Linked DNA regions of Mus musculus. The protein of the gene in region 7 purifies or fractionates together with the protein of the main gene of each other region. This does not show direct contact. Links are inferred from orthologs where the notes say so. Each region holds a gene or a part of one and is shown on either strand. Other genes may lie near its edges.

What was found.
Region 1: the proteins of Sf3a1 (region 7) and Rbm17 purify together in Homo sapiens (affinity purification with mass spectrometry; 4 studies listed by BioGRID and IntAct, counting the BioPlex papers as one, with this or other methods). This does not show direct contact. The link is inferred for Mus musculus from reciprocal best matches to the Homo sapiens genes SF3A1 and RBM17.
Region 2: the proteins of Sf3a1 (region 7) and Xab2 fractionate together in Homo sapiens (co-fractionation; 3 studies listed by BioGRID and IntAct, with this or other methods). This does not show direct contact. The link is inferred for Mus musculus from reciprocal best matches to the Homo sapiens genes SF3A1 and XAB2.
Region 3: the proteins of Sf3a1 (region 7) and Phf5a purify together in Homo sapiens (affinity purification with mass spectrometry; 3 studies listed by BioGRID and IntAct, with this or other methods). This does not show direct contact. The link is inferred for Mus musculus from reciprocal best matches to the Homo sapiens genes SF3A1 and PHF5A.
Region 4: the proteins of Sf3a1 (region 7) and Snrpa1 purify together in Homo sapiens (affinity purification with mass spectrometry; 6 studies listed by BioGRID and IntAct, counting the BioPlex papers as one, with this or other methods). This does not show direct contact. The link is inferred for Mus musculus from reciprocal best matches to the Homo sapiens genes SF3A1 and SNRPA1.
Region 5: the proteins of Sf3a1 (region 7) and U2surp purify together in Homo sapiens (affinity purification with mass spectrometry; 4 studies listed by BioGRID and IntAct, with this or other methods). This does not show direct contact. The link is inferred for Mus musculus from reciprocal best matches to the Homo sapiens genes SF3A1 and U2SURP.
Region 6: the proteins of Sf3a1 (region 7) and Dhx15 purify together in Homo sapiens (co-immunoprecipitation; 5 studies listed by BioGRID and IntAct, with this or other methods). This does not show direct contact. The link is inferred for Mus musculus from reciprocal best matches to the Homo sapiens genes SF3A1 and DHX15.

The regions. Positions count from the first base shown.
Region 1 is NC_000068.7:11,600,272-11,604,549, forward strand, and holds the start of Rbm17 (splicing factor 45), read right to left. Parts: upstream 2,929-4,278; 5' UTR 2,814-2,928; intron 486-2,813; 5' UTR 471-485; coding exon 348-470; intron 1-347. UniProt on the Homo sapiens protein: Splice factor that binds to the single-stranded 3'AG at the exon/intron border and promotes its utilization in the second catalytic step. Involved in the regulation of alternative splicing and the utilization of cryptic splice sites.
Region 2 is NC_000074.6:3,614,783-3,618,441, reverse strand, and holds part of Xab2 (pre-mRNA-splicing factor SYF1), read left to right. Parts: intron 1-189; coding exon 190-387; intron 388-2,057; coding exon 2,058-2,192; intron 2,193-2,283; coding exon 2,284-2,448; intron 2,449-3,659. UniProt on the Homo sapiens protein: Involved in pre-mRNA splicing as component of the spliceosome. Involved in transcription-coupled repair (TCR), transcription and pre-mRNA splicing.
Region 3 is NC_000081.6:81,869,006-81,873,244, forward strand, and holds the start of Phf5a (PHD finger-like domain-containing protein 5A), read right to left. Parts: upstream 2,888-4,239; 5' UTR 2,860-2,887; coding exon 2,808-2,859; intron 2,185-2,807; coding exon 2,161-2,184; intron 1,494-2,160; coding exon 1,327-1,493; intron 1-1,326. Other genes in the region: Aco2 (aconitate hydratase, mitochondrial precursor), read left to right, coding at 3,508-3,543.
Region 4 is NC_000073.6:66,058,744-66,063,168, forward strand, and holds the start of Snrpa1 (U2 small nuclear ribonucleoprotein A'), read left to right. Parts: upstream 1-1,592; 5' UTR 1,593-1,867; coding exon 1,868-1,949; intron 1,950-3,380; coding exon 3,381-3,528; intron 3,529-4,425. UniProt on the Homo sapiens protein: Involved in pre-mRNA splicing as component of the spliceosome. Associated with sn-RNP U2, where it contributes to the binding of stem loop IV of U2 snRNA.
Region 5 is NC_000075.6:95,509,174-95,513,432, reverse strand, and holds the start of U2surp (U2 snRNP-associated SURP motif-containing protein), read left to right. Parts: upstream 1-1,436; 5' UTR 1,437-1,571; coding exon 1,572-1,616; intron 1,617-4,259.
Region 6 is NC_000071.6:52,187,635-52,191,793, forward strand, and holds the start of Dhx15 (pre-mRNA-splicing factor ATP-dependent RNA helicase DHX15), read right to left. Parts: upstream 2,913-4,159; 5' UTR 2,717-2,912; coding exon 2,646-2,716; intron 1-2,645.
Region 7 is NC_000077.6:4,166,758-4,170,416, forward strand, and holds part of Sf3a1 (splicing factor 3A subunit 1), read left to right. Parts: intron 1-875; coding exon 876-1,133; intron 1,134-3,659. UniProt on the Homo sapiens protein: Component of the 17S U2 SnRNP complex of the spliceosome, a large ribonucleoprotein complex that removes introns from transcribed pre-mRNAs.

The DNA.
Region 1 (4,278 bases), on a different chromosome or scaffold from region 7:
GGGTGGCTCTGATTATTCTGCAAAGCTCAATTCCAAACTTCTTACAATAAACTAGCTGGGACCCAGCCTAGGCCAGAAGTCCCAGACTATTAGGACTAGGGGTATGAAAACAGCATCTGTAAACAGTTTGCAGTCAGTCTCAGGCATGCTCCAGTCTAAAGCCAGTCTCATGGCTTTTTTTAATTCCCACTCCATGAATGGTCCTGCTGTTTCCAAGAGCCAGGAGAGGCAATCAGCTCTCCACCCCTCGCCCACCCACTCTTTTCTACGTATCCAGCAAGGGGGCAAAGAGCAAGCTTAAAGGAACTCAGCGGACTTGCCCTCTCCTGCCCTGGGCCTGTTCTTACCTTGGCCTGAGTGAGCGCCGCCTTCTTCACCTGGAGCTGGGACTGCAGGAGCTTGAAGTTTTTGGACCAGCCTTCAGTTTTTGAGTCACTGGTCTCCACTCCCAGGTCATCATATAGGGACATCTTTTTGGTTTAATGCTGAAAGACAAGCAGGGACAGAGATTAAAAGATGCAAAGCAGAAGCAAGTTATGAATGTCTCTGTGTTAAAACAGCTGCACCATGGACCCTCCTGTCACAAATGCAGGGTTCTTTCTAATCTGCAAAACTATACTTAGGCACTAGTTTAAAAACAGTCCTCAGCCTGGCGTGGTGGCACGCGCCTTTAAACCCAGCACTTGGGAGGCAGAGGCAGGCGGATTTCTGAGGCCAGCCTGGTCTACAAAGTGAGTTCCAGGACAGTCAGAACTATACAGAGAAACCCTCTCAAAAAACTAAAAAAGAAAAAACAAACAAACAAAAGTCCTCAGGGCTCTCATGTAGCTCAGGCTGGCCTTGAACTTATCACAAAGACGAGGTTGGCTTTGAACTTGTGACTCTTTCCTACACCTCTTGAGTGCTGGGATATGCCACTATGTCCAGCCTAGAATTAATTCTCAATCTAAAAGACTATGGTGAACTGACTTATGAGTCAAATCCTTCAGTTATAGAACTGATAATGGAGTAAGACGGAAGCTCTCTATGTGGGGCATTATTAACTATAAAGTTCCAGGTGCCAAAGAGATGGCTCAGTGGGTAGGAGTACTGGTTGCTCTTCCAGAGGTCCTGAGTTCAGTTTCCAACAACCACCTGTAATGGTGGCTCAGAACCATCGATGAGTCCCAGGAGGGCCAGGGCTGTTACAAAAAGAAACCCTGTCCATAAATAAATAAAATCCCTCACAGGTGAAACCCTGTCCATAAATAAATAAAAATCCCTCACAGGTGTGGCCAGCCATTGGGTTTTAGTAGATTCCAGATGTAGCTAACCAAGAGTAACCATCACAAGTCTAAAAGTCTACCTCTGTTAGCTTGATCCACACCACAATCATATCTTATACTCAGGACTTAATGATGTTTTACCGAATCATTTATACCCTTCCGTGTGTAGCTATGCCATCTCTGATAGTTCACATTTCCCATCCGTATTACCAAGATACCATTGGCCAGGGACTGTTAAAAACAAACTAACCAGAGTAACTAAAGCAAACAGCGCAGCAGATTTCTCTACTGTTCTGAAAGACTTGTAGAATGACCTACTAGAGGGAACTCTTCCCTGTTGGAAAGATGTGTGAAAAATTTATGCGGGGGACAGGTGGTGGGGGGGAGGAGGTACATAATAACAAATCAGGGGGTCAACAAGAACCCATATGGTAGGAGAAAAATGACGCCTGTAGGAAATCACACATGTGATTTCCACGTGTGGCTTGTCCTCGGAACTCTTAATCTCCTGCCTGCACCTTCCAAGCACTGGAATTCCAGACATATTGCCACCCTGGGCTCCATTACTCATATTTACTAAAATTTGTTATCTCGAAATGTTTACAGCTCAGCCCAGTATAAATGTGTCCCCATGATTTAAAAGAGCCACCTGTTGCAGAGAGACAGGCCTCACCTATTCCCAGAACAAGCAGAATTATAACAAGAACTTATGTCAATGGTCCCCCCTTCCTGACTTCTCAAAGGAAGGTCTGACTGATCACCCTTCTAAGTCCCTCTTCATCCTCTGTCACAGCCTTAAACTGCAGAATACTCTACAGCGCTTCTCTGCTCTTGCTTTCCCTCTTCCTCATAGGTGCAGCCTTTCCACTTGTAATAAAACTCCTCTTCCAGGTCTTTCCAGCTTGTAATCTGGTTCTTCGGATCAATCCAGGCCTGGGTTTTCCAACGAGCTTCTTAGAGATCTAACCCCTGGAGAAGCACCTTACTGAGCTTGCAGCACTCATTCAGAGCACAACTGGTCCAAGCAGAAGAAGCTCGAAAGCTAGCGGAGGGACATGAACGCTAAAACTCCCCTTAGCGCAGGCCTGAGCATGCCGGGGGTTACAACAGACACTCTCTGTCCCGGTGAGACAACGGCCTCAACCTTCACTTCAGGTGCTCTGGAAGGAAACAAGTTTTGGGGTTTGTGTTTTGGCTTCTCCATTCCTGAGGCCCGACGCAGTCTGGGTTACTGCGGTCTTGCGACCCAACAACTTGGTCTGGGCATGGGCCATGAAGAGGAGAAAGGTACTTTCTTCACTGTCAAGAGGATCGGGACTGGTGAAGGGGGGATCTAGGTGGCCCGGTGGAACGTGGCAGGCTGAAGGAGCCCAACGTGGAGGGCTGGGAACCCCCCGGGCAGCTCGGGGTGCCCCGCCCGCATCCCCGCGCCCCTCACGGCGCGGCCTAGAGCCGCGGCCTCGCGTCCAGCGCATCCGTGAAGGCGCGCACACCCGAGTCTACGTTCCGGATCAGACCGCCTGCCAGGGCCGCCGCGGCGCCACTCACCCGGCCTTCCGAGACGATTGTGCCCATGGGCCACGGCGGCGGCAGCGCGGAGCCCGGCCGCCCTGCGCGGAAGCCCGCCCACCGCCGGAGTCCGCCGCAGCGCCGAGCCTCCACGGAGTCCGCAAAGGGATGCACCGCGCGGGGTAAGAGAGCGGAGGCTGCCGGGAGTCCACGTCTGCGCCTGCGTGTGACTCGCGGAAGCAAAGCTGCACTCTCCGGCTCGCACTGCACCCTGCTGACGGGAGGACTACATTGCATCTCCTCTCTGCCGGCCAAGAGATGGCGCCATTGGCACAAGGTTTCGAGATTCATGTGCCTTCTGACCTTGGAGTAGGAGCCGAATCCCCTACTAGGCTCCAGGTATTCACTCCCAACTATTCCCTTATATACTAAATGGTGGAAATAAATTTGCAGGCGAGATGTTGCAGAATCTAATAGCATTAAAAACACACACTGAGCTAGGTCTTCAGAGAAAGAATGTAAACACTATAAACCTTGCTCGCTTGGAATAAAAATGCAGCAAATGGCAAAAGAAAGGTCAGAGAAACCAGGGCTTTGTGTAAATATGTTTTCCCCATATTTTTGGTTGCATGTAAAAATTATTTCAAGCTATAGCTGGACAGTTGTGACCCATGCCTTTAATCTCAGCCCTTGAGAGGCAGAGACAGAGATTTCTGAGTTCAAAGCCTGCCTGGTCTATATAGTGAGTTCCAGGACAGCCAGGACTACACAGAAACCCTATTTTGAAAAACAGCAACAATAACAACAACCCCCCCCCCCCCCCGCAAAGGGTGGTGGTGGTGGTGAATTCAAGCTGAAAAATGTATCAGTCAGGGTTCTCTATAGTCAGAGGACCTATAGACTGTCTATATATATTAAATGAATTTATTGCAATGATTTACACTCTGCAGTCCAACTAACCTGACAATGGGCAGCTGTGAATGGGAAACCCAAGAATCTAGTAGTTGCTCTGTCCCACGAAGTAGGTTGTTTCATCTGGTCTTCTGTCTAAGCTACAATCTGAAGAAATCGGTTCCAACAGAGATGCTGTCAAGTAAGTGCAAGAAGGTGACGAGGAGTGAGTCAATCTTCTTTCTCCCAATGTCTTTATGTCCTCAAGTTCCACACCTGGATCCGGAACTTGCTTTGTCCCAGGCTGGCCTTGAACTCAGAGAACTGCTTGCCTCAGTGTCCTGGGATTAAAGTTGTGCACTACCTTGCCTGGGCTGTCTCATGATCTCCATGTCAAGATCTGGGTCAGCAGCCTGTGTCTTCCAGCCTCAAGATCCTGTGTGCCCTCCATTTCTGGATTGTAGTTCATTCCAGATGTAGTCGAGTTGAAAACCAGGAATAGCCATCATAAAACTGTGGAGGTGGACCTTACACAAGTGAACACACCAACATTATAATCTGATTTACAAGAAAGTGTTCAAATAATTCTGAAAGTGCCAGGCGTGGTGGCACA
Region 2 (3,659 bases), on a different chromosome or scaffold from region 7:
AAAACAGGGCACAGGTCCACCAAAGTGTTTTATCAGCTTGAGGAAATAATGACTCTCTTGGGCTTATTTACAGAGCCTGGGTGGCAGGTGATGACCCCTATTGCTTCCCTGCTGCCCCTGTGCCCTAGATATGAAGTGTAAGGAAGCTATGGAGCCTGTGCCTCAGACCCCTCACTCCATTATTTTCAGATGCCACGCCTGTGGTTAGACTACTGCCAGTTTCTCATGGACCAGGGAAGGGTAACACATACCCGCCGCACCTTTGACCGTGCCCTCAGGGCACTGCCCATCACACAACACTCTCGCATCTGGCCCCTGTATCTACGTTTCCTGCGCTCCCACCCACTGCCTGAGACTGCTGTGCGAGGCTACCGTCGCTTCCTCAAGGTGAGCACCATTGAAGTGACCAGTTCCTAGGTAGGCTTCCAAACATGGCTCACTGGGATAGGGACCTTCCCAATATGCAATAAATAGGCTGCAGGAAGAGGCTCCGATGAATAGGTACAGTTTATTCATGGTTTCTTTCTTTGTGAGTGTGTGTTGTGTATTTATGTGTGTGTGTGTACACCCATGTATGTGGAGGCCCAACGTTGACACTGATGTCTTCCTCGATCAATCTTTACTTTATTGAGGCAAGATCTTTTAGTGAACCCAGACTAGATTTAGCCAGTTCTAGCTAGCCCCACAGATCCCCTTTCCAGTGCTGTCATAGTTACCCAATGTTTATGTGGGCTCTACAGATCCAAACTCCAGTCCCCACACTTGCAAGGCAAATGCTTTATACCCTGAGCTAACTCCCTTTATACCCTGAGCTAAGCACTGTAACTTATTATCTTTAGTTTTCAAGTCTTTAGCTTTTAGCTTATGCCCACTTCCCAGTGGGCACAGAGATGAGAGCCAGGAGCACCATACATGGGGCTCTCACCACCACTTGCCCAGGACTTTCAGTCTAACAGGGTAAACACATGCATGACCCAGCTATGTGAAGTAGAATAAAACCAGAGCCACAGTAAGAGGTGGGAGTAAGATATCTGGATGGTGGGCTGCATTGCAAGCAGAGCGTTGTAGCTCATGCTTGTGATATTGGTATTGTAATTTCTTTTTTTTTTTTAATTTTTTTTTTTTTTTAAAGATTTATTTATTTATTATATGTAAGTACACTGTAGCTGTCCAGAAGAGGGAGTCAGATCTTGTTACAGATGGTTGTGAGCCACCATGTGGTTGCTGGGATTTGAACTCCGGACCTTCGGGAGAACAGTAGGGTGCTCTTACCCACTGAGCCATCTCACCAGCCCGGTATTGTAATTTCTTAGCATGGTACTGCTTGGATGACAGTTTGTGACAGAAGCAGATCCTTCCCTGACTACCAGTGTCTTAAGTTGGTCTGCCTAGAATTAGCATTGGACAGTATTGGGGTTGTGGCAGGGAGGTGTCAAGGCTAAGGGAGGTGCCAAGGGTGGACACTCAGGACCAAGACTGAAGGTCCAGACAAGATTACTGTCTTAGTTTCTCTTCCTCTTGCTGTAAGAAACACCCTGAAGCAATCGGCTTTTTTGGCTCACAGTTTAGGGGTGCAGTCCTTCATAGAAGGCGATGGGAGTTTGAAACAGCTATGAATCCATGATCAGAAAACAGCTATGCACACATGCTTCTTATACAGCACCATACAGGATCCCTGCCCAGGAAATGATCCCTTTCATAATCAACACGAGTCTTCTCATCCAGATAGTCTCTCACACATATACCCTAAGGCTTGTCTCAGAAGTGATTCTAGAGTCTGTCAAGTTGACAGTTAGCACTAACCACCATAAGTACTGTAGCCGTGTTAGGCCTGTGGTATCAAGACTGACCCAAAGGAGCCAAGACCAAACCAGTAAGGCCTAATGCTGGAGTATTGACTTCAGGCTGGACCACCATAGCACTGAGGCCGGGTTAGTGGGGCTGACTGTTTGCTAAAACTGGTGGTGGTGGGAGTGACGATAGCCACTTAGTCAGAAGAGAGATATCATCTCCTGCATCCCCAGTCACCTTCAGTGGGGTGGGTATTCATTCTCCAGCTGAGTCCTGAGAGCGCTGAGGAATACATCGAGTATCTCAAATCCAGTGACCGGCTAGACGAGGCTGCACAGCGCCTGGCCACCGTGGTGAATGATGAGCGCTTTGTATCCAAGGCTGGTAAATCCAACTACCAGGTGGGTTCCCTGGAATGTGGAGACTGGGTGAGAGGTGTCTTCCCTCATGGACCGAGACTGAGATGTTCCCCCAACACCCTGTGTCCTGCAGCTGTGGCACGAGCTGTGTGACCTTATCTCCCAGAATCCGGACAAGGTACAGTCTCTCAATGTGGATGCCATAATCCGTGGTGGGCTCACCCGTTTCACTGACCAGCTGGGCAAGCTGTGGTGCTCTTTGGCAGACTACTATATCCGCAGTGGCCACTTCGAAAAGGTATGTGGGTGCCTAGACCTCTGCTGTTAGGTGGGTCTCTGAAGGACACACAGTGCATGGGCAGGACACAAGTACAGATATGCTGTGTGAGACATATCACATACATGCACACATTTGCCATCCCAGTGGTGGTGATGGGAACAGGAGTCCTGTAGACAGGTGAACCTTCGGGACAGCCTGACTCAGTGTCTGGTCCTCTCACATCCTAGCTGTGTAGCCTGGGAACTTGTAAGCTTGTGTGGAGGAGTGCAGCCACTTGTGTACCCTTAACCAAAAACCTAGCTTCTCTACTCAGGAAAGTTGTCCTTTCCGACTTAGTGATGTAGTGTGCAGCTTTGGGAGAGATGTACATGGGGCAGTGAGGAGGGGAAGGGGACACCTGCCTGTCCAGTCTGATCAGCTGAATCAGCTCTAGCATTAGTGGGGTGACAGATGTCTCAACCAGACTGCCCTCACAGATGTCCCCAATATTCCTATTTGCAAAATGGGGGTGTGGCCACGCTTTACCTGTAAGGAACTGGTGCATCGACAAAGGCCGAGTACTCACCTAGTGCCCTCAGATAGTTTCCACTGTCTGTCCTTCCATCTTGCTTTCTAGAAACATGCTGGGATCAGGGTTTGGATGGGACTCTGAGAACCTCCATAGGACTAAACTGGGGGTACTGTGGTCTAAGGAAACTGGGTAGGAGGCCATTGTGAGTAGCTTAGGGGGTTGCGATTTGCACTGTTGGGCTGGGCAAGGTAGGGGGCTGCAGCAAGAGAATTGCAAAGCTCATAAGCCCCTTTCCCGAGTGCCTGCATGAAAACATGGGATAGGGAGACAGGGCTGTGCTTTCTAGGGATGGAAAGAGTCTAGAGAACACAAGGTTGTGAAGGGGTCAGGCAGCCATTGGAGGAGAGTGGGAGCCTCCAGAGACAGGCTGTGTTATATGACTTTTCCTGACGAGACATGAACAAATGTCTCTTCACCACAGATAGGTGATTTATTTCATTTTCCAAGTGTGTGCACATAGCAAACCAGTGAACTTACTGGGCTTCCTTACATGAACATGGGTGAGGGTGACTCAGAAGTAGCTGCATCAATGAAGACCCAGCACAGTTGGGAGAACATTCACAAAAGCTGCGTCCTTAGACCTTCCTTCTGACTTGGAGACAGGCTGGGCCTTGGGGGTTGCTTGGAGAGTCTCCCCTAGCAGTTGTTACTGTTTGCA
Region 3 (4,239 bases), on a different chromosome or scaffold from region 7:
ATCAACTATAACTATCCCTAACTCATGTGACCACCAGATCTACCTAAACTGTCTTTAATCACAGTGGATTTAAGAGAACCAAGTTGGGCAAGTAATCCTATTATCTAAGAGGCTGGCTGAGGCAGGAGGACTGCTTTGAGTTTCAGGCTACCCTGGACTACATAATGAGCACTAGACCAGCCAGGGCCAACATAGCAAGGCTACCTCAGTAGCTGCCACATCCTACATCCCTGCCCAGAGAACCACTATGTGGGTACAAATCTGTAACCTCTGCACTCAGGAAGCTGAAGCAGGAGGACCTTTGGTTCCAGGCCATTTTGAGACACACTGGCACCTATGTCTGTGAGAAAAAGAGGAAGACAGATACAGGCAGAGCCACTGAGTGTCTTCTACACAGCACCGACGTACTCATTAGCACACAAACAGAGGATCTTACATGTGGCTAAGAATAAAAATGAACGCCTTTAATCCCAGCACTCGGGAGGCAGAGGCAGGCGGATTTCTGAGTTCGAGGCCAGCCTGGTCTACACAGAGAAACTCTGTCTCAAAAAAACCAAAACCAAAACAACAACAAAACAAAACAAAACAAAACAAACAAAAAAAGGAATAAAAATGAGCTGCCCTGGCTAACTTTATGTCAGCCTGACACAAACTAGGGTCATTTTAAAAGATGAAAGCTCAATTGAGAAAGGCCCACTAGTTCGACCAGTGGTGCACTTTCTTGATTAATGGCAGACATGGGAGAGCCCAGCCCAGTGTGGGTAGCACTACTCATGGGCTGGTGGAACTGGAGGCAGTAAGAAAGCAGGCTGAGCAAACTGGAGGGGAAAGAGCAGTGATCGATCCTCCGTGGCTCCCGCATCGACAAACTGTTACCTGGAGGTGTGGAAGAAAACCTTTTCTTTCTTTAAAGCTGCTTTTAATCTTGTTGTATCATTGAGAAGAAACCTAACTAAGACAGCAGGTAAACACACTTGACAAGCCTAACATTTGCACTCAACCGCCAGGACCAGAGTCTACAGGGAGAACTGCCTTCAGCAGGTTGTCCACACACCCATTCGCAGGAGACAGCAAGGTACATGGAGAAGTTCTCCTAACTGCTGATACCAATGAAGACTTGCTTCTCTTCCATTCTGCCCTGATACAGAGTAACTGCTCTTTATTAGACCACACCCAGTTTGGCTCACAGGCTTGAAGAAATTACCTAGATAACTAGCTGAACACTGCAATCTCCACAGCCCAGATCAGAAGAGGTGGCCATGGATGGCAAAATGGTTCAAAGTAAAAGGAAGAGAAGAGCGGGTAGGAAGCTCAGCCTACACTCACATCCTTCTCCTGAATGGTGCACTCTTTACAGTAGTAGGCATCGGAGACTCCGGGGCCGCCACAGATTACACACCGGCCCTGGTAAGATCCATAGTTACACTCATCACATATGCGGACCAGGGTGCAGGGACGCACGTAGGAATCACAGATCACACACTTGCCGTCACCTGTAGAGAGAGGAGAACTGAGTTATAGCCAATAGCGATTACTCCCCTAAGATCTCTCCTCTGCCCTATGCGGGAAATCACTAGTCTCCTTCTGACAGTGACCTTAGGACCTTCTTCTACCTTGACAGCATAAGCCTTATCCTGTACCCGTCTCAGTTTAGTAGTTCATGGAAAGAGTTTGTATTAGTGTCTGGGAGCTTTTAAGTCTATGTAGTTACTGTCAACAAATTGACAAATGTCATTGGGCTGGGAAGGTCCCCACTACTCTTGACAAATCTTACTGTCCAAAAGTAGACATTTTTTTTCAAAACCTAAATATGAAGTATTAAAAATTGCATGCTTAAGTGGGAGGATGGTGGGGCAGTCTTTGGTGGCAGCCAGGTATTTAGTATCCTCTGCAGGCTGGTTTATCTATTTAAGACTTCTTTACTAGCCAGGCAGTGTTGGCATACGTCTTTAGTCCCAGCACTTGGGAAGAAGAGACAGGCGGATTTCTGAGTTCCAGCCTGGTCTACAGAGTGAGTTCCTGGACAGCCAGGGCTATACAGAGAAACCCTGTCTTAAAACACCCCCCCCCCCAAAAAAAGACTTCTTTGCTGTTCCACTGGAATTGACGACTCTTCAAAGAGTAAAGGTGTCAAGGCCTGAGAGGGCGTGTTCGGCTTACATTTTTCACACAGTCTTCCGATAGCTGCAAGGTCAAAGATAGTAAAACATCGTTAAAATTAAGGTTGTGAGGTAGCAAGCAAAGTTTTTCGTCAAACTGAGTATAGAGGATGGCGAAGGTAGCAATGATTACAGTCAACCGTACAGGATCGTGGTCACATTCTCCTTTCCTCCCTCTCCACTGTCCCCCACCCCCTACTTTTTTGTGATAGAATCCCACTGTGTAGCTTGAGTTAGCTTTTAAGCTCTAGCCAGGCTCGAACTCGCAGCAATCTTCCAGCCTTCTGCCTCCCAGGTGCTGGGATTACAGACAAGAGTTCCCGGCCCACGACCCTAAATTTTGCTTTACACCAAAGGCCATGTCAAAAATAAAAAAAATGTCTGGAACCCCCCAAAATTCAAAGTATTCTAGACCGGCTTCTCCAGACCTGGCACAGAGGATCCCGCCAGCCTTAGACTCCCGGATGCGCGCTGCTGCCCTCTTCTAAGATGCCACAAGCCGGTGAGCGCTGCTAGAATACCCAGGCACCGTAAGGCGCGAAACGTGGACACGGCAAACCAGAGCCCTAAAGAGGAGGCTGAAGTCCCTAGTCCCCCACTTTCTAATCCCATCCCACTCAACCAAAAGGGAGCACGTCCCCAACTCACCCACACCAGCCTGCTTGCGGCAGAAAATCAAATCTGGATGATGTTTAGCCATAACTCTTTTTCCAAGCCGGCGGCCGGAAGCTTAGGGAACTTCCGCCCGACCTTTAACCTACGGCGTGCTTACTTCCGTTCCTCCGTGATTGGCCATTAAGCTGTCCGTCAGCCTTTAGCCTCGGGGGGTGGGGGGGGGCACCAAAACCGGCTAGATCTCGCGAGAGTTTCCTCGCTAGGTCCTTGCAGGTGCACCAAAGGTTTTTGAATAAAATTCTCTTTACTTCCAGATTTGAACTCATAAACTGAAGTTTGTTCTTGGGTAAAAATTCTACATATGTTGCATTCTGTGTTGGGGATTGACGCCAGGGCTTCTTGCATGCTTCCGCCAAGTATGTTGATTTGGGGATATTCTCTTTCCTGGATGACCTTGAACTCCTGCCTCCCCTCCAGCTTCCACACCCAAGGGCAAAGGTGACAAGGTTGCGCCGAACGCCGAGTTGGCAGTTTCCCCGCATCTTTGCTTTCCACGCCGGGTTTCCGTCATGTAAGCCCCGCCCACTGTGCTATCTGCACTCTTGGCTGCGGGAGGAGGCCCCACCCTCGCGGTTGACTCGTCTCTCTGTAAGCCCCGCCCCCTTCGATGCTTTTTTAAGGGCGCCATTTGTCACGTCACTTTCATGCGACCTCATCTTTGTCAGTGCACAAAATGGCGCCTTACAGCCTCCTGGTCACCCGGCTGCAGGTAAGCGAGCCCAGAGACGTGGGTTTACGGGGGCGGGGAGCCTCCTGCCTTGCCCGCGGCTGTAGGCGAGGCCAGGCGAGGCGGGCTCGATTCGCGGCTGACGTTCCGTGCACCTGTCGCGGTTGCAGGCCCAGCGCCCTTGTGGGTTCCTGCGTTGTCCTAGGTCAAGGCGTCCCTGGCACAGGCTGTTCGCAGTTCCCATCCCCGCCCGCCGGCAAGCTTGGGTTTAAGCAGCGGCAGCCTGGTCCAGGGTGGAGGCACTCCTTTTTTTCTGAGGGTGGAATCCATGCTCCCCCAGGGTGGTTTTCTGTTCCTCAAGGTGATGACAAGGTGATTGGGGGGCGCGGTGGTTGTGGGTTCCTCTAAAGCCGGGTGCTTGAAGCCTTCACTTCCCACCAGTAGCAGAGACTCGTCGCCTCATTTATCCGTGGTTGCCGGGCATGGAGTTTGCAGAAGCTATATCCACTACTACCCTTTGAGGAGACTCGGGGTCATAGACACAAGAAGGACTATTCTGGGCCCCACCATAATAAATAGTCACGATAAGAGTGCTTTCTCACCTTTGCAGCAGATGTCAAGGCTGTTTACTAATGTTACAGATGTTTTATCTGACGACATAGATGTGAGATAATTTTTCCCCCAACTTGGTAGGTGGAAAAACTGGAAGATATAGACAAAGTAGTGGCTTTCATGGTG
Region 4 (4,425 bases), on a different chromosome or scaffold from region 7:
GAAGAGACCAGCATTACTGGAGTGAAATCTTCTGGGAAGTGTGTTCTGAGAGCCCAAAGAAAATGTGTTCCAGAGATAGTCAAGGTTGTACCTCATGCTGCAGCTGGACTTGGTAATGTATAAGAATCACCCAGGTGATGCTAGTTTTGAAGGCACAAAGGGATTACGAACAGCAGCTGAGGCTTGGCACTGTGAGAGGCCAGGGATGGTCACTGGTGAAGGTGTAGCCTCAGTTGGAGTTGATGGCCCAGGGCTGAAGGGGTCACCACTACATAAACTCACTCCAATAATCCTAGCACATGAAGATGGAGGCAGGAGAGTGAGCTGTTCAAGTTCCTTCTCAGGTCAGTCATTCCATGACTCAGCAGGTAAGAGAGTGTGTACAGCTCTTTCAGAGGACCAGAGTTCAGATCCCAGCAACCACGTGTAACCCCGACTTCAGAGTATCTGGCACCTCTGGCCTTTGTGGGTATCTGCACTCATGTGCCCAAAACCACAGAGATATAACAAATAATTTCTAAAAGTATTTTTAAGAGTGTTTTCTGCTCATGCTGAGGACCAGGGGTTGACTTCTAGCACACATGTCCAAAGGATCACAACGGCCAGCTCCAGGGAATTTTAGGCTGAAGCCTCCCCTGCACCTATACACAGGTGGGCATGTACATTAATTAGTAAGCTATGATTTAAAAAAAATACGCATATGATTTCGTGCATTTAAGGCTTGGCACTGTGAGAGGCCAGGGATGGTCACTAGTGAAGGTGCAGCCTCAGTTGGAGTTGATGGCCTAGGGCTGAAGGGGTCATCACGTATACACAGGTGGGCATGTACATTAATTAGTAAGCTATGATTTAAAAAAATATGCACATGATTTTGTGCATTTAAGCCTTTGGAGACAGAGGCCAAGGCTCTGCAGGTATATTGTATTCACTGTGGGGCACTCATCACATGGCAATTTCTGATATGTGTATTCCCCTGCACTTCGTATGAATTTTTTTGGTGTTGTTTGTTTGCTTGAGATAGAGTTTCTCTGTGTATCCCTGGTTGTTCTGGAACTGGCTCTGTAGGCGAGGATGGCCTCTATCTCCGAGATCCACCTCCTTCTGTCTCCAAACTGCTAGGATTAAAGGCATTCTCCATCACAGCTAGTCAATATGAATATCACTTATGGTTTATTTTATTTGTGTGTGTGTGTGTGTGTTTGCGGTTGCCGGTGTCTGAGGAGGCTAGAAATGGACGGCAAATCCCCTGAGGCTGAAGTTACAAGCAGTTGTCAGGTGTCCAGACGGATATTGGAATGCCAACTCAAGTCCGTTACAAAAGTTGCAAGTGCTCTTAACCTCTAAGCCACCTGACCAGCGCTTTGGTATGAACACCTAAATGTCTACAGGCTACAAGTTCACCCTCAAGCTTTAAGGTGACTGTACCAGGTCAGAAGGGTTCTGTTTTAAGGCAATCCAGCCTACGGGTCCTGCCCCTTACCTGCGGAAGCCCAAGTTAGACATTTAGGAACTTGACTTTCAGGAGACTTCACAGTCTCCGCCCCTTGTTGGGTGGAGAAGGGAGAGTAGTCCCAACTACCCCTCCCTTGAGGTTCACTGACGTGAGACAGAGCATCCCTCGCGTGTTCTTATCTTTTGGATTAAAAAAACTGGAATCTGGGCTCCCCACACTCCCAGGCACGCTCAAGCCCAGAACCCAGAAGCAAAGACACGGGGGCTACGTCTTCGATTGCTTTAGCCTGGCGGTCGAGCTGCGCGGGGATACGATTGGTGCTGTCTGGCGGCGAGGCGCGGTGCACTGTGGGACACGGCACTGGCGGGAGGCGCAGGCTGGTGTCGGAGGTGAGGGTCCGCGGGCTGCGACAGGATGGTGAAGCTGACGGCGGAGCTGATCGAGCAGGCGGCGCAGTACACAAATGCCGTACGGGACCGTGAACTGGACCTCCGGGGTGAGTTAGACGGAGCGCGGGCTGTGTTCCGGCCCCGGCGCGTGGCTGCGGGAAACCAGCCCCGCCGCGTGCGCAGAGGCTGGAGCCTGGCCCGTGGGCCTCCACCCGGGCTGGGCGCCTCCGATCCACCGTCCCGCAGGGCCCTTTGGGGCTGTTTGTTACCGGCGTTCCGGCTAGCAAACACGGCGCCTCGATTCCTTCCCCGGACCGTACTCACTAGGCATTGCCCCGCTCATCGAGCAGCTTTAACTGTTGGAGGACTAGGAAAATAGAAAACGCTACGGACAGGCCGGCTGCTGGCTGGTGTTTTTTGTTTGTTTGTTTGTTTGTTTGTTTGTTTGTTTTTTAGCAAAAGCGTTAATGTGGCACCTGAGGGTAGGGTGGATATGTACCAGAGTTACCTTAATTGCCCCAATAATTCCGGTTTGGTTTTGTTCATTTGTTTTTGAGACAACGTCTCGTGTATTCCGAGCTGACTTCAAACCGTTATATAGTTAAGGTTTATCTCGAACTTCGGACCCTCTTGCCTCCACTTCCTGGGAGCTGGGTTTAAATGCCTGCACCACGTTTATATGGTGCTTTGGATGAGCCCAGGGTTTCATGTCTGTCAGGAAAGCACTCGCGCTACTGAGCCAGACCCGCAGCCCCGGATAATTTGGTGTTTTCAAGATTGAGCTGTTTGACCGTGGCATAATGGTCACTTCTGTGTGTGGGGTGGCGGAACTCACCTGTTCAGTTCTGACAGAAGTAGCACTTGATTTTTAAAACATAGAACTGAGAGGTAATCGTTAACTATTCAGGAGATGGCTTTGGAAGGGGTTAAGATTATAAGACTGTGACCAGAGGCAATCAAAGTCTCGGGGGCGCTGTGCACTGCCATTTTTGAAAGTTTCTTCCTGCCTATGGGAAATCCTAGTGTTCTTTGTGTTTGTTGAATGAAATTAACTTTCTTGGAGAAAAGTCCGGTTCAGGAGCATCTGGGTCCTTTCACTGTCTTGGCACAGTTTTGATGTCTGCTGTCTCTCTGAAAACCGTGCAGTCTGGAGAATGCTTATTCTGCTACCATATCTTTTATTGCACTCCTTCACAGCTGGGTTGTGTCCTTCCTTATAGTACCTAGCTCAGTGACGAATGTGAATACCTCATAGACGTTCTTAATAAACCATGGGCACCAATACTAGTAAATATGCCCATCTGTTCTTCCTCTTGCCTTCAGCCTCTTCAGTTTTACTTCAAGCTTTGTAGCACTAAGGCCTCCACTTAACCCTTTCGTCATTTACCTTATTTTTGTTCAGTGCACGGCATGGTGCTAGTGCCTGGTTAATACTTCCCGAATGGGAGCGCTGAGTCAAATTCCATCACATACTCCTGCGATTTTCAGGACTTTTCATTTATATTAATATTTGTTGTATGTATGTTTTCCCTCTACAGGATATAAAATTCCGGTTATTGAGAATCTGGGTGCCACCTTAGACCAGTTTGATGCTATTGATTTTTCTGACAATGAGATCCGGAAACTGGACGGTTTCCCTTTGTTGAGAAGACTGAAAACATTATTAGTGAACAACAACAGAATTTGGTGAGTGACTGCTAGTGAGAATACTTTCTTCCCTTAAGTAAGTGTTCTAATGTACCCTGAAGATAATGGGGTTTTGGTTGTTGTTTTGTTTTGTTTTAATGTATATTAGTTTTTTGCTTGCAGGTACCACACACCCTCCTAGTGCCTCTGGAGGCCAGAGGAGGGCCTTGGCTTCTCTGGAGCTAGGTTTACAGATAGTCCTGAGCTGCTCCAGCTGTAGGAATAGAATCTGGGTCCTCTGGAAGATCAGCCAGGGCTCTAAGTTGCTGAGCCACCACTCCAGCCTGCCCATGTGTCTTAAAGGGAGAAATGAATAGAGCCCTTTTCCTAAGAGGTTGGAGATTAACTTGGGCATTGGCCTGACCTTACTTGCTACTCTTCAGAAATCTTTAATATTCGTAACTGACATTAAACTTTGAATTTGAAGCATTGTGCTATGTCAACAAATCAGATTTTAGAGTAGTCATCAATAGCATCATAATTAAAAAGATTTATAAAGGCCATGTGTAGTGGTATCTGCCTTTAATCCTAACACTCTGGAGTCTGAGGCAGGCTGATCTCTGAGTTCAAGGACAGCCTTGTTGACAGCAAATTCCAGCCAGGGCTACATAGTGAGACCCTGTCACAGTAAAAATCTTTTTATGAAATAAAGTTACTTTTCACTGAGTACCTATACCTCATCCACTATGCTGGTTTTGGTTTTTGTAGTTGGTTTCTACAATATAATTCTGTGAAATTAAGATCATATTTGTTTGTATGAGTGGGGTTTCTCTGTGAGCCCTGGCTGTCCTGGAACTCACTCTGTAGACCAGGCTGGCCTCAAACTCAGAGATCTGCCTCCCTTTGCCTTCTGAGTGCTAGGATCAAAGGCGTGCACTACCACCACCCTGATGGCAA
Region 5 (4,259 bases), on a different chromosome or scaffold from region 7:
GGGTATAGTGAAGGGGGTGGGGGAGCGACCAGGGAAGCATTAGTCTAGGAGGCTACATTGCTGAACTCTCTAAAAAGGTCAATAAGCAGGGCGGTAGTGGCACACGCCTTTAATCCCAGCACTTGGGAGGCAGAGGCAGGCAGATTTCTGAGTTCGAGGCCAGCCTGGTCTATAGAGTGAGTTCCAGGACAGCCAGGACTACACAGAGAAACCCTGTCTTGAAAAAACCAAAATAAATAAATAAATAAATATCAATAAAATCTGGTGGTAGGCGATGAGGTATAAATAAGCCAGGTACCAGAGATAGAAACCGTAGTAACAGGAAGCCAACGATCAGAAAGTAACGGTTGCTATGCATGAAAGTACAGTATAATACGGTTCTGTGCCCTCCAGCCCAAATGAATTTATTTCCATTCTCAGGTCCTGTCACACATCTCCAATTCTGAGCCTCTTCTCTAGGTCTGACCCTTATCTGTAACTGAAATCTAGGTGATGGCACACACGTTTTCTCCCAGCACTTGGGAGACAGATCTCCGAGTTTGAGGTCAGCCTGGTCTACAGCACAGGGACAGCCAGGGGTGGAATGCCGACAAACTGGAAAAACCCAAATCAAACCAAACTTACTCATTCCCCGCTTCCCTTCAATTAACAAAAAGCTTAGACATGGTGGCCCAAGACTAATTCCCAGGACCTGAGGCGGGAAAATCAGCAGTTCAAGGCTATCTTCTGCTACACAACTTTTGCGACTATGCTTCAAAGAAATAGGTGCGGGTAGCCAGAAGTCTCAGAGGGAAAAAGGCACTTGCTGAGCAAACCTGCCAACCTCATTTCGATCCCCAAATCCCACCAACTCCTTCAAACTGTCCTTTAACCTCCCCACAGTTGCTAGGGCGTGCCTGTACTGCACAGTAACAATAAACATGCTCGTTTTAGAACAGCGTCTATATTACGATCCATCCCTCCCCAACTCCATGCCCAGTCTATGCAGGTACCATGCTCCGACGTCCTAAACAGTTTTTATCCTATTTCCCTGTTTTTTCTCAACTCTGAAGTCACTGCTCACCATTTTTTAACGTGAGCAGATTGCAAATTTGCCTTGCCACCAAGGCCTGTGCCCCCTGGGGGATCGTGCGGCAAAGTGTCTCGACGAACTGCCTCATCAGCTGAGGTGAGACGCTCGGCTCACGTGGCTACTGCAGTTGCTTTAAAAGAGCAGCTTCCTTCCCCCCTCAGGAAGTAGAACCCGCTCGCATCTAACGCCGGTTGGCTCTGGGAGGAAAATGACTGAATTATCAGTTGGCCTTGAAAGTCGGGTCAAGGAGAGTCCCTAAATTCCGCAGGCGCGTGACGTGACTGGGCGCCGCAATTCACCGGAAGGCGAGCGGGGTGGGCGGGGCGCGTAAAAGCGCCTCGACGCGGAAGTCACGCGGCCCCGGCGCCGCGGAGGTCTCCGTCTCGGCGTTCGGCTATTCGGCCTGGCAGCCTTTCTGGCGCGCTCGGCTGCTATCTGTTCTCTCGGTGCTCGACTCACCCGCGCTGCTGCCTCCGCTGAAGGAGGAGCAAAGCTCAAGATGGCCGACAAAACGCCAGGCGGATCTCAGAAGGCCAGTTCAAAGGTAGTTTCTTAGAGATCTCCGTCAGTCAGGGGGGTCTCTCACCGTGGTCGAGGGCCTACAGAAGCCTCTGGCCTTCGAGGGTTTCCTGGGGCGAGGGGCTGAGGCCTGTTGGCCACAGTGGGCCTGGCACCGCTGCACCAAGGTGCGCAGGTTGAGAGGCCCGAGCGCGCGTCCGTCCCGACTGGGATTCAGCCCCACACCAGCGTGCCTGGTGGCGAGCGGGGCTGGTCACCTCGTTCGGCTTTGTGGGTCAGAGCAGTGGTTCCGAGGTGGTCCGGCGTCCTTGTATCACCCCTTGCTGCTCTCGGAGGCTGCGGGCTAGAGGCTGGGAGAGGCGGGAAGGTTCCCGGTCTTAGATGCCTGTTTCTTCCCCCCTCGTCCTCCCTTCTTTACTTTGGCTCTTACTCGTTCCTGGCCTTACACGGTTTCTCTCCTTGCCGTCCAGGAAATTAGGCTGGACGGGTTGCAAGGGTGTGCGAGAGACCCGCCAGTGGAGGGCCTGGGGTTGGGACGTGCGGAGGGAGCCGCTCTCTGAGCCTCAGGGTTAGAGCCACACTTCCCATGTGATTTTCCTCCCACTTCCCGGGAAGTGAAAAGTGAACAACATCCCTCTTGAGGGCCGCAGACTCAGGGTCTCAAGCAGTATGTGGGGTTTCCATTGGAAAGGGAAACTACGGTAGACGTGGAAATTGCCCAAATGCCCTTACATGTGAGTTTATAGGGAGCCCTGTGCATTGCTTGGGAAACCGTTGAACTGTAATTAAGCGTTAGTAAGGTTGGGTTAACAATTGGTGTTAGTTGCCATTTTGGCCAGCGTGTTTAATCCCATTTATTTACTTATCTATTTTGGATTATTTTGCTTGGAGATTCTCGTCCCCATCTCGGTATTAAAGATGCCTAAGTACTGCCATAAACCAGTGGCGAGGCTTGAGATGCAGAGATAAGGAGTTGGATAACATTTAAAGAGTCTCGGAACGTAAAGTGTATGATTATCTGTTTGCATTTGCTGTTTGGTTTGAGAAACAAACCAAACTTGCTCTCTTTCTAATAAGGCTGACGTTTATTTATTTGTTAATTTTTAAATTTTTGCCATTTTGCTGAATGATTGCCCCAGATTTACTTAGCAAGTAGTAAAGGTCTTACTAGACATTCTTCAGAACTATGGGAGGGCCCAGTTCTGGTTGTCCTTACACCAGACCTTTACTGTAAGTCAGCTTCCTTTTTCTCCAGTAGTTTTTCCCCTCCTTCCCTTTCTGGGGGAGCAGGTGAATGAAGGGGTACCTCATGATGCCACTCCTCCTTTCAGACCCGTGACCAGGACAGGTACCCACATCCATAGTTACAATTTGTTTTGATATTCTTCTCAAAGCATTTAGTATTTCCTGCATGAGGCCTGGGTAGATTGAAAGCTTTTCAAAGTATGTGTTCAGACTTTTTTCTAAGAGAATACTTCTCAGGACTCTGTGTAGTTTTTAAGTATTAAGTAGCTTGTTGGATTTTTTTTTTTTCATTCACACTTGTCAGTTTATAGTCCTTTAGATGTCACCAAAGGGTTCCTTACTCGTGTCTGAAAAGGGAATATTTATACTCAAGAGTTTTGCCAGGATTTTTCCATGTAATGGAAAGTGTTGTAATGGAATGGCGAGGTTATAGGTTTTGAAAACAAATACGATACCTAATCTCTTCAGCCTCAGGTTTTCTTATCTTATTACAGGAAAAAAATTCTTTTATAGGGCTGATAGAAAGATGGAGTTACTGTAAATGTTAGTAAATCTTACTTCAGTTTCTAAGTCTATATAGATCATCCACCCATCCTGCGTACTAGGTTTTTGAGCTGGGTCTCCCGTAGCCCAGGCTGGCTTGAACTTTAACCTTCAGCATCCTGCTGCTCCTTCCTTGTATTTCCCAGAGTTGGGATTACAGGCATGTGCCAACCGCTTCCAGCTCCCTTTTTTTTAAGGAACTAGAAAGCACTGATTTGGATTATTAAGTGTTGGCCATCATAATGACCACTCAAATTGTTGTTGTTTTTTTTTAATTTCAAATGTAAGTCTAGACATTATTAGATTATAAGATCATTTTGGCCTTAGTACAATATTTGGAATTTCCAGGCTTGTATTCTGTGCTGTATATCAAGTAAGTAGAGACTTCTGTTTCATGCTCTTGCTATGGTAGTTACATTTCCATCAATTTGGGTAGAGGTGTTTATTAGTCATTTCTACACATTGAAAGAATATTTGTACAAGATATAGGGTTTTTACCATTGACCATGATGAAGTCTCTATCTTTTACAAAAGTGTGCATGTCTGTGTGCACACATGTGCACCCTCATGCCGCAGTGTAGATGTGACAGAGGACAACGCTAGGTTCTAAGGATCAAATTCAGGCCTTCAGGCTGTGTGGCCTATGTCTGCATTCTCTGAGTCATGCTCATGGCCCCATTAGTGTTTCTTAATTACAAAATACATAAACCACTAGTTATTTTTAGCTTTAAAATTAACTTCATGATGTACACAGTGTATGTAGTTCTTGCTAAGGGGACTTGATGGGGGGGCACCCTTCCAAAGTCCCTTTTATTTTATGTAATTGTTCTATACTTTTCATTTTTAATATCTCCTGGTAGACACTGAGCACATATTTTAG
Region 6 (4,159 bases), on a different chromosome or scaffold from region 7:
GCTGTGGCTTTTAAGATGGAACTAAAAACATTTAATAAGATAATACATGTAATAATGCCTGGAATATCTGAAATGTACCAACAAACACTGGTTACTACTGATGTTTCAGTTTAAATTGTACTTGGAATAATAATAGGCACTAATATACTGCTAGTAAGTATGGAAACTAGTCATCTACTCTAGATATTTTATATAAACTACTTTTTTTCTGACAGTCTCACTTTGGGAACTTCTAAGCATGTGCATTAACGTGCATACATAAGGATACTCATACTTTCATCTACAGAAAATTCGAGGAAAGCACTTAACACCAATGAGCAAGACAAGAGACAACTACTGTACTACACAGCCAATGGGACCCAAATCCCAAGAGCTCACTGATATTACATTTTGTATTTAGGAATAAGTATGGACTCCAAAGATGGAAATAATGATTTGTAGTAGCTTACTGCTTTTTTCTTTATACATTTATGTGTGAAAATTTCTTGCCCTTTGCATCTTATCATCTTATTATTTAATTTCAGCTACCACGGGATTGTAGTGAAACACATAATTACAAATTCTTATCAGGAATATTAAGAACCATTAGGATAAAAATGTCCTTCCCAGATTTCTTGGGAGCTGGTGAGATGGCTCAGACTGAAAAACTGGGTTGACCCCTGAGGCCATCATGGTCAAGAGGAGGTAACTGACTCCGTGGTTTCTTCTCCTGGCCGCCCCTCCACCCCCACCCCCACCCACACGTGCTGGAATGGAGACAGCAAGGTCTGGTGACAGCTGGGGTGACAAAATGAACAAGCCTATGCTGTCAAATACACTAAACAAGAGCAAAGAGGGGGAGGGAGGGAAGCAAAGAGTCCCTGGCAGTCAAAAGTGCCTTCAAATCAAGTAAGGAAAAAAAAAAAAATACCAAGCACAAATACTGTATTGCTAAAGAAAACCAGTTCTATAAGAAAAGGTACTCAAAAAACTTAGGAAACTGCAAAAACTGCCTTGCAGAATCTCTAGAAATCAAGGACTCTCCTGTACTTAGTGACAAATATGAAATATTCAGAGGAAACATGAAGCTACCCGCGATATACGCAAAGTCCATTTTGCCAATGTTGTATGTTTTGCAAGAGAAATGACCATAATCACTGTAATGTGGAGCCCCAATTGCAATAAAAGCATTGAGTCGTGAACATACACACAAAAAAACTCTGCTTGCACAAACTCAGTGTTCATCCCAATGTGACCTCTATAAGGAGAGAAATTAGTTGCATCTTAGCCAAATGTGACATTAACTTTAACTTCACAGAAGTTCCCCACTTTATCAATCCAATATAAATGCCATTTATGACAGGTTGTGATGCCTAACTACAGTACTAAGTTTCCTGTTGAGAAAAGGAGAATTCTACATACCACTATAATCTATGGAAAAAGCTCACTGCAACTTTGCTCTCCCTTGGAGAATATTCATGAGCTGTTTCTACCTAAGAACTGATGGAGCTCAATTACTAACATTTGGAATGTTTGCTTGAGAGAACAGCTGTCTTGGGATGTTTTATTATTACAATGCTTAGTGTTATAAGCTTTAAAAAAAAAAACCTACACAATCAAAACATAACAAACCTGCTTTCCGTATTCAATATTTCAACCTAAGGAGAGCGACAGAACGCATCCTATCCTGACCTATTCTCACACTGGTAGTTAGAAATCAATCCCAAAGGACTTTCCGTTAACAAAAACTCAAGAGACCACACATCTGACTTGACAGCGAGTCGGTGTCACAAGACATAAGAAAATGATAAAATCCTACAACTGTTTTGGACATTTGGACTTCCGTGGATATATTTTTTAATTAACCCAACAGATCCCTGTACTGCCGAAGCATAAACATACAACTAATTAAAATGGGAGGGTAGGAATATAAACAAAAGTACATTTTAAGTATGAACTGTGAAAGAAAAGACTGGAAAATGATAATACAACTGCTTACTTGCTAAATGCCCTGTCTTTGCGAAAAGTCTAAGAAAAGGAACTAAAATGCCAGACCAGGAATCGGTGTAAGCCTTTCTCAATCTGCACGTGGGTGTTGTTTGTTCAAACACGCTTAAGATCACTTTTTTGAAAAGTGCGTCCAAAGTGGGGAGGAGATAGAAATAACTTCCAGAGCGGAGGGGGAAATACGTGTTTTCACAGGCCTACCCCAGTGATGCTACTTAAAAGCAAAGCCGGCTTTTAAGCAAAGCAGGAAATAAAGGAGATGGCGGGAGGGCAGGCAGAGGGCGGAAGTTGGCAACGGCCTCTCCTGAAGTGCCTCAATGGAAGAAGGCCCTTCGTCTCCCGCCAAACAGTGCGCCCCGAGGTCGGCTCGCCTCTATCCTCCCCCAAAACAGACAGCGCCCGCCGCCGCCCACGGGGGCAGTGCCCTTGGCCATCCGGTTCCGGCTGCGGGCCTCACGCGAGCACCGAGGCCTCGCGGCCCGCTCCGCACGCCCGCCGTTCCGCGGCCTCGTGGCCGCCACAGGCCGCTCGCCCCGGCCGCACACACTCGGCACGCGCCCCAGCCGGCCGACGGCAGACAAAGGCTCGGCAGCCGGGCCTGCTCCCCGCCACCATCCAACAAAGCCCGAGCCGCGACTGCGCGCCCCGGCCTGGCTTACCCATCGGTCCCCGCACGCTTCTTGCCGGAGGGGTAATCCTCCCCCAGGTCCAACCGATGCCTCTTGGACATCCTCGCACTCCCAGAAGCGGACGCTTAGGAAGGAGGGAAGAAGAGAGACTCCGGCAGCCGGATCCACGCACAAGAGGCCCGCGGCTCAACTCGCGGGGACCCCCACCCCTCCCGCCACCACAGCCCGCTCCGTGCGGCCCGAACCAGGAGCTAAAATGGCGGCCGCGACGAGGGCAGGGCCTGCGTGCGCGCCTCCGCGGCGGGCGTGCCGGCGTGGTGCGCGCGCACGCCGTCCGGAGGCGGGAACTCCCGTCCCGCCCGCTGTGCGATTGGCTGAAATGGCTCTGAGTTCCCGCGGGCTCCTCCCTTTCCCCTCGCGTCTCTCTGAGAGCTGATCTGAGCTGCTGCTAAGGACCGAAACGCGCCTCAAGCTGTCACTTGCCGCCTGGAGTTCGTTGGGAAAGTTGAAAAAGCCTAGTCCTGTTTAGGAAATCTATCCAGCTGTGTATATACTTTTTGCTTTTAGGGTATGAAGCTCAGGAAGGATAAGAAAAACAAGATCACACAGCTGGCAAGTGGCAAAGCAGGACACAATTTATAACTCCAGAACGAGAATTTGCAGTTGTTGCGCCAGATGCCCTGTAGCGGTGAGAAAAAATGTTAACTTTAATTACTGTGACTCGTTTTGTCCATTCACCCCAGAACAGATAACATCTATTTGTTCAAGGTATAGGTGTTTTGTATAGGGTTCAGAAAATTGGAGGTAATCGCACTGGGCACTGTATTTTGCCTCCAATCCTCTGCCCTAATCTTGCTCCGTTTGTGTGTATATGAGTGCATATTAGGCACTCAGAGACATTAGCCCTATCTCTGTCCTCGTTTGGTTTGGTTTGGTTTGGTTTTTTGAGACAGGGTTTCTCTGTGTGGCTCTGGCTGTCCACAAACAAGCTCTGTAGAAGAGGCTAGCCTGGAATTCAGAGGTTAGGCTGTCTCTGCCTCCCAGTGCTGGGACTAAAGGCGTGCCCCAGCATGCCTAGTTGCTGTGCTCCTTAGTAGAGTGAACCCTGAAAGACATTTTATAGACATGGTTACCTGGACTGAAGGAAATCAACAAATAGCTCATCCATTAAGACTCCACTGTAATGGCAAGTTGTTGAGGCAAGGTGACACTTAAGAGGTTGTGTATCTTTCTCCCTTCAGCCATTGTGCATACTCAATTACATTCATTTCCAGAAGTGTGGGCGAAAGAGGTCTAAGGATCAGCCCAAATACAGGGTATCACTTCATGTCAAGACTCTCCTTTGCTGCTCCTTGGCTCTAGTCCCTCGAAAATTCTCAGAAGGATAATCTCTAAGATTAAATACAACAGAAACACAACAGATGATATTGTAACTTTCACAATATCCAACACAACTGTCTAAATGTACATTGACAACCTGTTAGGCTAGATATGGTAGTGAGTACCTTTAATCCCAGCACTCCTGAGGGCAGAGCCAAGCAGAT
Region 7 (3,659 bases):
TGTGCACGATCACAACCACCATGGGCAGAAATAAAGTTACCATCAGCTTCTAGAAGCTTCTGCACACTGGTTGTGAAGCTCTGTCCTCCAGGCTGAGGTTGTGAAGAGCCCAGCAGAGCAACTGTTTAACCAAGGCTTATGATTTATTGACCCAAGGAGTGAGGGTTAATTTAATTGTAGTGTAGGAGCAACCTTTTGGCCCAGCTCAGCTGAAGGAAGTGATGTAGCCTTGTGCCATTCCTTCCCTTCTGTTGGGGCTGCTTCAATACCCAGTTGGTGCTGGGGCCCAGGAGTACTGACGGTCAAGAGTGTCTGTGAAGACAGAGAACCAGTGCGTTTTGTCAGCTGGGTAGAACTGGCCTGGTCTCATCATTTTGCACCTTTCTCAGACTTCTGTGGAAAAGGCAACCTTTTATTTGGCTGTGAGAAATAAAAGTTGAAGTCATGTTTGAAGCCTTGCATTGCAATTGCTGCTTGTAGGGCCTAAGGCTGCTGTGGCTTTCCTCATGTGTAAAACTACTCACAGTACCTGTTAAGTTTCCTGCTTCTCTTGGAAGTCATCAATGGAATTTTTTGCAGTAGGAATCACTACACACACATGGACCTTACTGTATTTCCAGCCTCTTAAGTCGTATTTTACATCTGATTTCCTATATATATTTGCCACCTCTTTAAACCTCTGATGTCAGGACTGGAGTAGAGCTGTAGACTGTCTCACTTGAAGCAGATTAGGGAGTTGAGGCACAGTTGGGTGAGACACTGATAACACCAATCTTCTAGCAAGTTCCAGTGATATTCTCAATTAAGAGTCTGGCTGTTCTGCTTCAGGGTTAGTTTACTCCTGTTCTGTTCGTGTTCTATACTCTCTGTCTTAGGTCCAAGCCCAGGTGATCCAAGAGACCATAGTACCGAAGGAGCCCCCTCCTGAGTTTGAGTTCATCGCTGATCCCCCCTCCATCTCAGCCTTCGACCTGGATGTAGTGAAGCTGACAGCTCAGTTTGTGGCCAGGAATGGGCGTCAGTTTCTGACCCAGCTGATGCAGAAAGAGCAGCGCAACTACCAGTTTGACTTTCTCCGACCCCAGCACAGCCTCTTCAACTACTTCACAAAGCTGGTGGAGCAGTATACCAAGGTGCTGGGTTTGGGTCCGGGGTAGTATAGTATCTCACCACTGGGTATGCAGCATCCACTCTGTCAACAAGGATATTTGCTTTGTGTGACATATGAATCCCAGCTTAATGTAAAGTTTTGGTTTAAAATGCTTTTATATATTTGCGAATGTGTGAGAGAGAAAGTGCGAGTGTGTAGGTGCTTTTGTGCCCTGCCATGGAGGTTGCTTGGCATCAGAAAACAGCTTTCAGTTCTCTCAAGCTTCCATAGCAAGTGCTTTTACCCTATGAACCATCTCGTTGGCTCTAAATCTTTTTGTTTTGTTTTGTTTTGTTTTGTTTGAGACAGGGTTTTCTTTGTGTAACAGCTCTGGCTGTCTTGGACTAGTTTTGTAGTCTAAGATGGCCTCAAGCTCAGAGAACCACCCGACTCTGCCTCCTGAGTGCTGGGATTAAAAGTGTACCTTAAATCTTTATTTCCCCCCCCTCTCTCCCTCCCTCCATCTCTCTCTCTCTCTCTCTCTCTCTCTGTCTCTCTCTCTCTCTCTCTTGACAGTGTCTTACTGTGTAACCCCAACCCTGACTGACCTTTGAACTCACTCTGTAAACCAGTCTGGCCTCAAATTCAGAAATCCTTTTGTCTATAGGATCAAAGACATGGGTCCCCACATCCAGCTTATATTGTTCTCTTTAAATACCTCTTGGTATTGAAGAGACGTGTTTATAAACTGCTGTTATTAGGTGGTCATTTGCTGTGTGACAAGACTAGGTAGCACTATCTGCTTTTAGGTGTCTGCATTGCCACTTGTCTGCTCCATGGCCTGAGAAGCAAGCTCTTAACTGTTACCTACTTTAATTCTCACAGAACTTTTAAAGTGGTGTTCTTCAACTTTCACAAGCAGAAACCAGCTAAGAGCCATGGTTTCATGGGGCTCGGGTTCTTCTCAGTGGTAGAGTTGCTTCTCTAGCATAAGGTGCTGGGTTCAGCACTGTTCTTAAGGAAAAAAGACCAAAAAGGGATGAAGTGTGAAATCATTCATGATTGCTTGGCCTCAGGCTTGTAAGCGATGTTGCTGAGATTCAAGCCTTGGCTGTCTTTATCCTATGGAGTAACTTACATGAGAAAAAGTTCAGTATGAATCAACTAACATTGAAGACACATGTGCAACATCTTCCCAAGGGCCCTGATAATGTGTACAGCAGCCACTGTTCTCAGTTATCCTGCCTGGAGTCACACAGATGCTGCAGAGCTGGGACTGGAGAGCTGGCACTTTTCTTTACTCTCAACCCTAGGTCGCACTGCTGCAGTCAGGAATCAACATGGCAAGCCAGGCATGGTGGTGCACACCTTTAGTCCTAGCACTCTTTGTTGTTGTTTGTTTGTTTGTCAAATGACTGGGTCTCCTCCTATAGTGTGGTTTCATTCTGTAGACCAGGCTGGCCTTAAACTCAGGGAGATCTGTCTGCCTGCCTCTACCTCCTGATTGCTGAAATCCCAGCACTCATGAGGGAGGATCACTGAGTTCAAGGCTAGTTCGTGCTGCATAGTAAGTTCTAGGATATCCTTGCCTACAGACTGAAATTGTCTTTAAAAAAAGAATCTGATACAGTAATCTAACATTTAAAATTTGTCAGAGAGCTGGATACAGTAGCTAACACTTGTAATTTAAGTTCTATGAAGATTGAGGAGTACTAGGAGTTCGAGGCCAGCCTGAGCTCTTTGAGAAACTTTCTCTTTTAACAATAAAATGTTTGATATGTTACAAAGGCTTCTCATCTGTTGTGGGTTTACCAGTGGCATGTTTTTCTTGTTTTTCTTTTTAGTGGAATGGCCTACATCTGTTACTAATATTTAGAAGCAGTGCTAGAGATTTAAGTTGAAAGGACTTATAAGTACTGTCTCTGAAGAATAAAGTTTGAAGTATTTTAAAATGTGTTTTTGCCAGGCATGGTGGCGCACGCCTTTAATCCCAGCACTCGGGAGGCAGAGGCAGGCGAATTTCTGAGTTCGAGGCCAGCCTGGTCTACAGAGTGAGTTCCAGGACAGCCAGGGTTACACAGAGAAACCCTATCTTGAACAAAAAACAAACAAACAAAAATGTGTTTTTAGAAAATGACCAAATCTAGGATCTGGTAGAGCAGTAAAGCAATGACCGAAACCTAAAGCCACAGGATTCTAAAGTACACAGTCTCGGGGTTGTGGATTTTTAAATGTTGTTGTATCTATTTGTATTTTTTGTGTATGAGTTGTTCTGCACCACTTGTGTGTGGGGCCGTGGAATTGAAAAAGACTATCAGATCTCCTGGGACTGTAGTTATAGATGTTTGTGAGCCACCATGTGGGTGCTGAGAATCAAACACAGACCTCTGAAAAACAGGCCCTGCTCTAGCTGCTGCTGTCTCTCTAACCCATATCAGTTCTAAGTATGGCCTAGGTTCAATTTGAGCTGCTTCCATAGTAGAAGTTCTCATCTCTATTTTGTTACTTTTTTGTTTCTTCCTCTGACTTCGGCTATTGGCATTGACTCATAACTGACTGGCACTGGAGA